2 linked regions of the Schizosaccharomyces pombe genome follow. The protein of the gene in region 1 purifies or fractionates together with the protein of each later gene. This does not show direct contact. Each region holds a gene or a part of one and is shown on either strand. Other genes may lie near its edges.

The links. Proteins that work in one complex are often made in the same cells at the same time.
Region 2: the proteins of taf51 (region 1) and tbp1 purify together in Schizosaccharomyces pombe (affinity purification with western blotting, with the first as the bait; 2 studies listed by BioGRID). This does not show direct contact.

What each region holds. Positions count from the first base shown.
Region 1 is NC_003423.3:3,032,081-3,035,838, forward strand, and holds the start of taf51 (transcription initiation factor TFIID subunit taf73), read left to right. Parts: upstream 1-1,626; 5' UTR 1,627-1,800; coding exon 1,801-3,273; exon of another isoform or gene 3,274-3,329; coding exon 3,330-3,758. Other genes in the region: protein mug98, read right to left, coding at 16-49; SPOM_SPBC15D4.13C (ASCC1 family protein), read right to left, coding at 412-630, 681-742, 809-1,142.
Region 2 is NC_003424.3:4,413,550-4,417,307, forward strand, and holds tbp1 (TATA-binding protein (TBP)), read left to right. Parts: upstream 1-1,929; 5' UTR 1,930-1,997; coding exon 1,998-2,200; exon of another isoform or gene 2,201-2,455; coding exon 2,456-2,516; exon of another isoform or gene 2,517-2,568; coding exon 2,569-2,829; exon of another isoform or gene 2,830-2,899; coding exon 2,900-3,070; 3' UTR 3,071-3,602; downstream 3,603-3,758. Other genes in the region: SPOM_SPAC29E6.06C (cysteine--tRNA(Cys) ligase Crs1), read right to left, coding at 1-370; SPOM_SPAC29E6.07 (uncharacterized protein), read left to right, coding at 1,275-1,625. UniProt on the Schizosaccharomyces pombe protein: General transcription factor that functions at the core of the DNA-binding multiprotein factor TFIID.

The DNA.
Region 1 (3,758 bases):
AATTAGTCTACTTACGCTCATGCTTTAACTGCATTACCGGAATGCTCATTGTGTCGACAGCAATAGCCTTTTGCAAGCAAACTATGAGATGTGTTAAAAGATGTGAATGGTTCGTTTATTACCTTCAATTTTGTCTTCCATTGTCAAATTATCAGCATGTATATGTGAAATCAATTATAATAAAGGATCTCAAAATAATTTGAATAGTTTCCAAAATTTCAATCAATTTCGAGAAATGATGGTAAAAGGAGCTATATTATATATTTGTGCTTCGTCAAAACAAAATGAGTTATAAATTGCACCGATATTACTTCTATGACCAATTTCATATTTGTTTACACATGTGACTATCATGTGGTAAACAATCGATTCCAAAAGCGTTTTTGTAAACAACAACTACTACCTTTATAATCAATCATTAACGAGTAAAGGAATTGAGGCTAACTCTTCATAATACATATTACCCGGTTCTCCAACAGCGCCTGTTTTCATAATACTTAGTTTATCAAGTTCAATATTATGAGCCCAAAGAAATTGACCGTATTTTTCCATAAAAGGTTCCGAATTAAAAAACCTGATACGTCGCCCCTGGTATTTTATATACCTGGAATTTAACAAGGTGCAGTGTAGCTAGTTTTGTTAGCAAAATTATAATTTGGTTAACATCGCATAATGCGTACAGTAAGAGGTCTAGCGTCTTTAGTAAAAAGATTGTGTTCAGTGAAAATAACTTTTAACCATTCTATGAATTAGCTTATTAATAAAAAAAATAAAAACTCCGTACCACAAAAGGCTTGTAAGTCATTACCATTATGCTTGTCCACTGGAGTAGCATACAGCACCTTGGCTTCCTGAGGAGATTTCCCAAAGAAAGAAGTTCCCTTTAAATCGATTGTAATCTTTTTCTCGCCATAGGATTTTCGGATTTCATCCTCTTTGTTGTATAAAAAATCCATGCACTTGAGAACGTCTTCGTCGTTTTTAACCGGGATCATACCAATAGTAAGATGTGAGACACGAGGGCCACGAAATCCAGATAATATCATGGGATCATTAGATGTTAGTTTAAAATACTTTAAAGATTCCTCGATATAGTGCTCAGATATCGGTAAGGCCAAGAATAACAAATTTGGATATCGCATAATAATTAACAGATTACTATGGCAAAGTATTCAAAGTAATTTATTTACGGAAAGTTGTTCTGCGGCTCAAACAAAATTCACTGATCGCTAATGAAATATGAGGTAAGAGGAAATCACTTACAAATTTATAATGTAATTAAAATTGACTACATAACAATAATCAGGCTGTACTAATAATAATGTTTAACAACGTCGTTTATATTGAAACGAAAATTGTTCTTCATCCTATCCATTGATTTACTATTGCTGAATTAACGAATTTCATATAGCGTCATTAAGAAATATTAAGTTGTCAAATCCTAAAATCGGTAGACTTATTAGTCTAATCTTTAGATGATAAAATGCGAAGCAGTTCATTTGATCATACATATATATCAACAATTCCAATTCTTAAAAAAATAAGAAAGATAGCTGCAATTATTAGATATGGTGAGTCAACGCTTCGTTTGAGTTTAGATACACAGTCCAACTAAGGATGCCAGATGGACTATTCAACACCACCACAAAATTATTAAAAGTTGTTAAACTATAGAAGAAAAATATATTATACATTCTTCTGAAAACGTGATAAGCCGAAAGATATTTTTTAACACTTCGAATACCTAGGTGGCAGTCGACACACGTATAAAAGAAGTAAACGCATGACTAACTACTAAAAATGGCTCAATCTTCCTACTCTTCTGGTAATTCAACTTCAGATTTAAACAAGATTGTTTTGGACTATCTGTTTAAAAAGGGTTATTCCAGGACTGAAGCTATGCTTCGGTTGGAAATATCCAGTGTTGGCGCAATTCCTGAAGAACAGCAAGACTGGCACATCGGTGCTTCTGAAACTTATGTACAAGTTTATATTTTATTAAGAGATTGGATTGATGGTACATTAGATTTGTATAAGCCAAAACTACAAAAAGTCCTTTATCCAATTTTTGTACACTCTTACTTAGACTTACTGCAAAAAAATGATCCCGAAATGGCAATATACTTCTTTGAATCATTTCGTATAGAGCATGAAGTGTTGCATGGCTATGACATTCGAGCATTAGCTCAGTTGAAGATTGCATCAGACGTTGAGGAGATAGAAATAGCTCAGCTTTATCGCAAAAATAAATACCGGATTAATTTCACGAGGTCTACATTTGATTTACTAGTACAGTTTTTGTTCGAAAACGAAGTCAATGGAAGTGGAATAATAATTCGCTTATTGAATCAGTACATTGATATAAAAATTACTATGCCTCAAGTCGAGGGCAAGGAGGACCCTAATGTGCAAGCGGTCTATGAAATGGACGAAGCTAAAAATGAACAGACAATAATTAGTGAGCAAGAAGGAATTCCTGGCCATTCCGAACAGCTTCTTGATTACAACAAGCAAAGCATACAACTTGGATTACGTCCCTTGTCAGAAGAAGTTGTCACAACTTTAAAAAACTTGTTAGAAGTAAAAGATAAAGACGTGGAGGGAAGAAATGAAGCTCTGAATAAAATATTGCATCCTGCAAAGAACCTTGTCGAATTGCTGACTGAAAAAGAAAATCTAATCAACGAATCAACTCTAGAATCACCATCTGATCCCCCATTACCTCCAACCAAAATGAAGGACATAGACTATTTTGTTTCTTTACTGGAAAGCGAACAGAATTCTTTAATACTCGGAAAAAATGCTACGGATCCTAGTGTTTTCATGTATACCATGCACAATACACTTTCCGCTGTAAATTGTGCTGCATTCTCTGATGACGCCTCTATGTTCGCTCTGGGTTGCGCAGACTCTTCAATTCATTTGTACAGTTCTACTAACAATGGTCCGCAACCATTAGTGGGAAGTCAAAATGAGCCTTTACAAAAGTCCTCTTTAATTGGACATACGAGACCAGTTTTTGGAGTGAGCATCTCTCCTCAAAAAGAGTTTATACTGTCATGCTCTGAGGATGGCTTTACTCGTTTGTGGTCCAAGGATACTAAGTCCACTATTGTCAAATATGCTGGTCATAATGCGCCGATTTGGGACGTTCAGTTTTCCCCTTTCGGCTATTATTTTGCAACAGCCTCGCACGACCAAACAGCACGTCTATGGGATGTTGAGCATGCAGCACCTTTGAGAGTATTTGTTGGACATCAAAATGATGTGGATGTAAGGAACTTTATTTAACTAACAATTCTTATGAGCAGTAACTAACCTTGATTTAGTGTGTTTCATTTCATCCGAATGCAGCTTATCTTGCTACAGGATCTAGTGATCATACAACTAGAATGTGGGACGTTCGCACTGGTGGAACAGTTCGCGTGTTTAATGCCCATCATTCTCCTGTTTCTGCATTGTGTATGTCTGCTGATGGCTTATCGTTGGCATCTGCTGATGAATCGGGCATAATAAAAGTGTGGGATCTCAGAAGTAGTAATCAGCACGTTTCATTCGTTAAACACTCTAGTATCGTTTATTCTCTTTCTTTTTCATATGATAACAAAATTCTGGTTTCCGGAGGTGCAGATACTGATGTTAACTTTTGGGATTTGACATACCGGAATAACTTATCGGACGGCGAACAGTCCCCGCTTTTATTCAATTTTAAAACCAAAAATACTATTATACAAAACTTAAGTTTTACTCGAAGAAAC
Region 2 (3,758 bases), on another chromosome or scaffold:
TAACCTTTTCACGAGCTTCTGAATGGGATTTGTTAGTACCTTGCTGCTTTTTATATTCTTCAAATAAATATTGTTGACGAGCTCTAAGGATAATTTTGTCATCTATATCAGTAACGTTTTGTACAAATGTAATGTTATATCCAAAATAAGATTGTAAGATTCTTCGAAGGATATCAGTTGTCACATAATTACGAGCATGCCCCATATGACTAGCATCATATACCGTAGGTCCACAGCAGTACCATGTTAAGTTGGAACCATTTGAAACAAAAGGCACCTTGCTATGAGTTAAGGTGTTGTATACATAGAGCTCCGTTCTTTGTCCTTTAGGAACACCCCAATGCGATTGAGCGGGATTTCTAGTCGACATTAGATTTTTATTAAAAAAGCGACTAGAACTATTGAAACAACGAGCCACGAGTTTAAAAATCGTGATTTTGATTATTTTGTCGTTGAGTTGGGTAAAAATTTGGCAGGATAACCTGAATTAAGATAACGGAGTATTTGATGCGCAATTTTACAGGTTATTGTTAGTACTTGAACTAAGCAAGCAAAAACATTTTGCAAACAAAAAATAAAAACAAAATTTCAATACCTAATTATATTTTTCCTCATATTAAACTAGTAAAGTAGCCAATAGATTTATTTCATCTTTTTTTTTTTTTTTTTTTGACGATATTATTGCAAATAAGTTGTTGGTTTCCATCTCAGCATACCAATTGATATGCTTTGAAAATGTCTTATCCGTATTAATCTTAGTTTTGTTGAATCGAAAATATTTAAACAACTCTGGTGTCCTCATATGTTTCTGCCTTCATTACAGATCTTCTATAGTTTTTGCATTAAAGCCATTTAATTGAATGACATTGTCAAGTTATTGATATTAGATAAAAATTTGAATTTTACATTTCAAAAAGTAAATATCATGTTATCTTATTTCTTTCTGTAAAGGATACTTTAAATTACTAACAAAGAAACTTTGAAATCATATTTTAGAACAATTTATTAATATGCATCAGGAGGTTATTATAACAAAGAATGACATTTATCTCAAAAGACTAACAATGGTTTATCGTCTCTTGGATACCGTTTAAAACAAATACTTCTTTTATAGTTTAAGAAAACCCTTATAAAGACTTGAGGGATTAATGATTTGTTTTTGTTTTCTTTAATTAAAAAAAAAAAAAAAAAAAAAAAAAAAAACTCAGATCGATTTATATTTTCTTTCTGCAATTTCACATTTTATTAATTGAATGATAAAATAACAAGTAGCGATGGAATACTATATTCGTGAAACGCTAATTACAGATTTTCAGGATGTTAAGACTTTAAAAAATAAAAGAAAATGCTTCAGTTTCTTTTTTGAACTTAGATTATTTTCCCCTCAATGTTTGTTTATAGTATATTTTTTTTATTTACTACACGTGAGAATAAACACCTCTCCTTTGTTTATAAAAACTACGACACGACCAACAGCGTTAATCCATATAACAAAATACAGTGAAGCGTTAGCGTCGAGACTGCTGAAAGGGCATATGACGCAGCTCTCACTCCGTACCATCCTTCCACCTGCGCACACAAAAAATTTACATCGCCAGCAACCAACTACTTGGTTAGATAGCTAGTGCCTTTGTTCAAATTTTATACCAAAGCTTGATTCAGCTTTTCTAGACTAAATGCGGTACTTTATTTTGCACTTCCTATACTCATTTTCGTCTATATCTCGTTCGTATTGCGTTTGAAGGACTTTTTTTTGTAAACGAGAAATTTATACATAGAAGCTAATAAGAAAGTTGTAAAAACGTATTTTATAAATAAAAAATCGCGCATTTCTTTACTATTCAGCCATCGCCGCGGTTTCACAACACTCAGAAACCCTAACCCTGAAAGATCGGGTATATATAAATAAGTGCAGCAGCCGTCACCTGCAGGCTTTCCATTAGGGGTGGGATAACGCAATTCTACGAGTAGCGTAAAATAATAATTGATTTACTGCAATGGATTTCGCTTTACCCACCACGGCCTCGCAAGCGAGTGCCTTTATGAATAACTCTTCTTTAACGTTCCCTGTTCTCCCCAATGCCAATAACGAGGCTACAAATGAGACGGCAGATTCCGGGGATGCAGAAGTTTCAAAAAATGAAGGTGTATCTGGCATTGTTCCAACCCTTCAAAATATTGTTGCTACTGTAAACTTAGAGTAAGTCGTGCCTCTTTGGATAGGGAACAAGGCGTATTGCCGTCGCGGTGAGTTCATCGGAAATCTTTTGTATAGACATGGCGTTTGGGTAAGAGCGATTGTTAATGGTTATTTGATTTTTGTTTTGTTTATATTTAACTACCATGTCACGAGATTTCCGAAGGCAATGACCGCAGGGGATGATACGTCTCGTTAACAAAATTTTCCATTGAGTTAGCAAATTAGACCTTATTACTAATAATCCTCTTAAAATAGCTGTCGTCTTGATCTCAAAACTATTGCGCTACATGCACGTAATGCAGAATACAACCCAAAAGTACGTTAAACCCTTTTAATTTTGTTTGAGGTCTGTTATTGACCAAACATAGCGTTTTGCCGCTGTTATTATGCGTATCCGTGAACCCAAGTCTACTGCATTGATTTTCGCGTCTGGTAAAATGGTTGTTTTGGGTGGCAAATCCGAGGATGACTCCAAGCTCGCGTCTAGAAAGTATGCGCGTATCATCCAAAAACTCGGTTTTAATGCCAAGTTCACGGATTTTAAGATTCAGAACATTGTAGGAAGTTGCGATGTTAAATTTCCAATTCGTTTGGAAGGTTTGGCTTACTCCCACGGTACTTTCTCATCTGTAAGTTCATCATCTTTAAAGATGTTGTTGCTGTTAAAAGACGAATAAGTATCTAACTGTTCTTTTTTAGTATGAGCCTGAGTTGTTTCCCGGTTTGATTTATCGCATGGTAAAACCAAAAGTTGTTCTATTGATTTTTGTTTCTGGTAAAATTGTTTTAACTGGTGCGAAAGTCCGTGAGGAAATTTACCAAGCTTTTGAAGCCATTTATCCAGTATTGTCTGAATTTCGAAAACATTAAGGCATGTCAACAGTTATCACACAGTTTTGTGTCAATGTTCATGGGTATTGTTGGGTAAAAGACCTTAGTCGGGGTCAGGTTATTTTTTGATCTTTAACATTAAACCCTTAAAAAGCTTTCCGGAGAATCCCCTTCACTGTAAGTCATCATTTATGAGTATTTTTATATGATGCAGATGATAGAGACATCCTTTGAAAAGTTTTTTCTTCAAAATCAGAAACTGATCTGTGAGTTTCTTCTTTTACGGCGCAACACAGCTTTATTCAAGAAAACTATAGAGGCTGAAATTGCGTATCTTATTTGAAAACCTGCAGTTGATGAATGTGTGCTCTTAAAAGTGCGTGCAAGTGTCTTCGCGATACTACTTGTTTTCCTCTGTGTTTATCATTAAACATTAGTTGAGCATTGCTTCATTAAATCTTCTAGCTTCAGGACTGGTGGCCAAATCGGTACAATGTTCTGTATAGCTTTGTATAATTCATTTTTTCATGATCGTGTAATAATAATAATAATCTTTTAAAAATTGAAATAATTTGGTTTTAGTCTGAAGAGCGTATATCGACAGTTCTTAAAAAGTATTGATTCCATTCGAAAATTAGACGATTATGATACTATGGAGTTTAAAGGAACTGAGTATCTGCTGTTCCTGTAAAATACTTTAAGTTCTTAATAGCGCTAATAGAAGGAA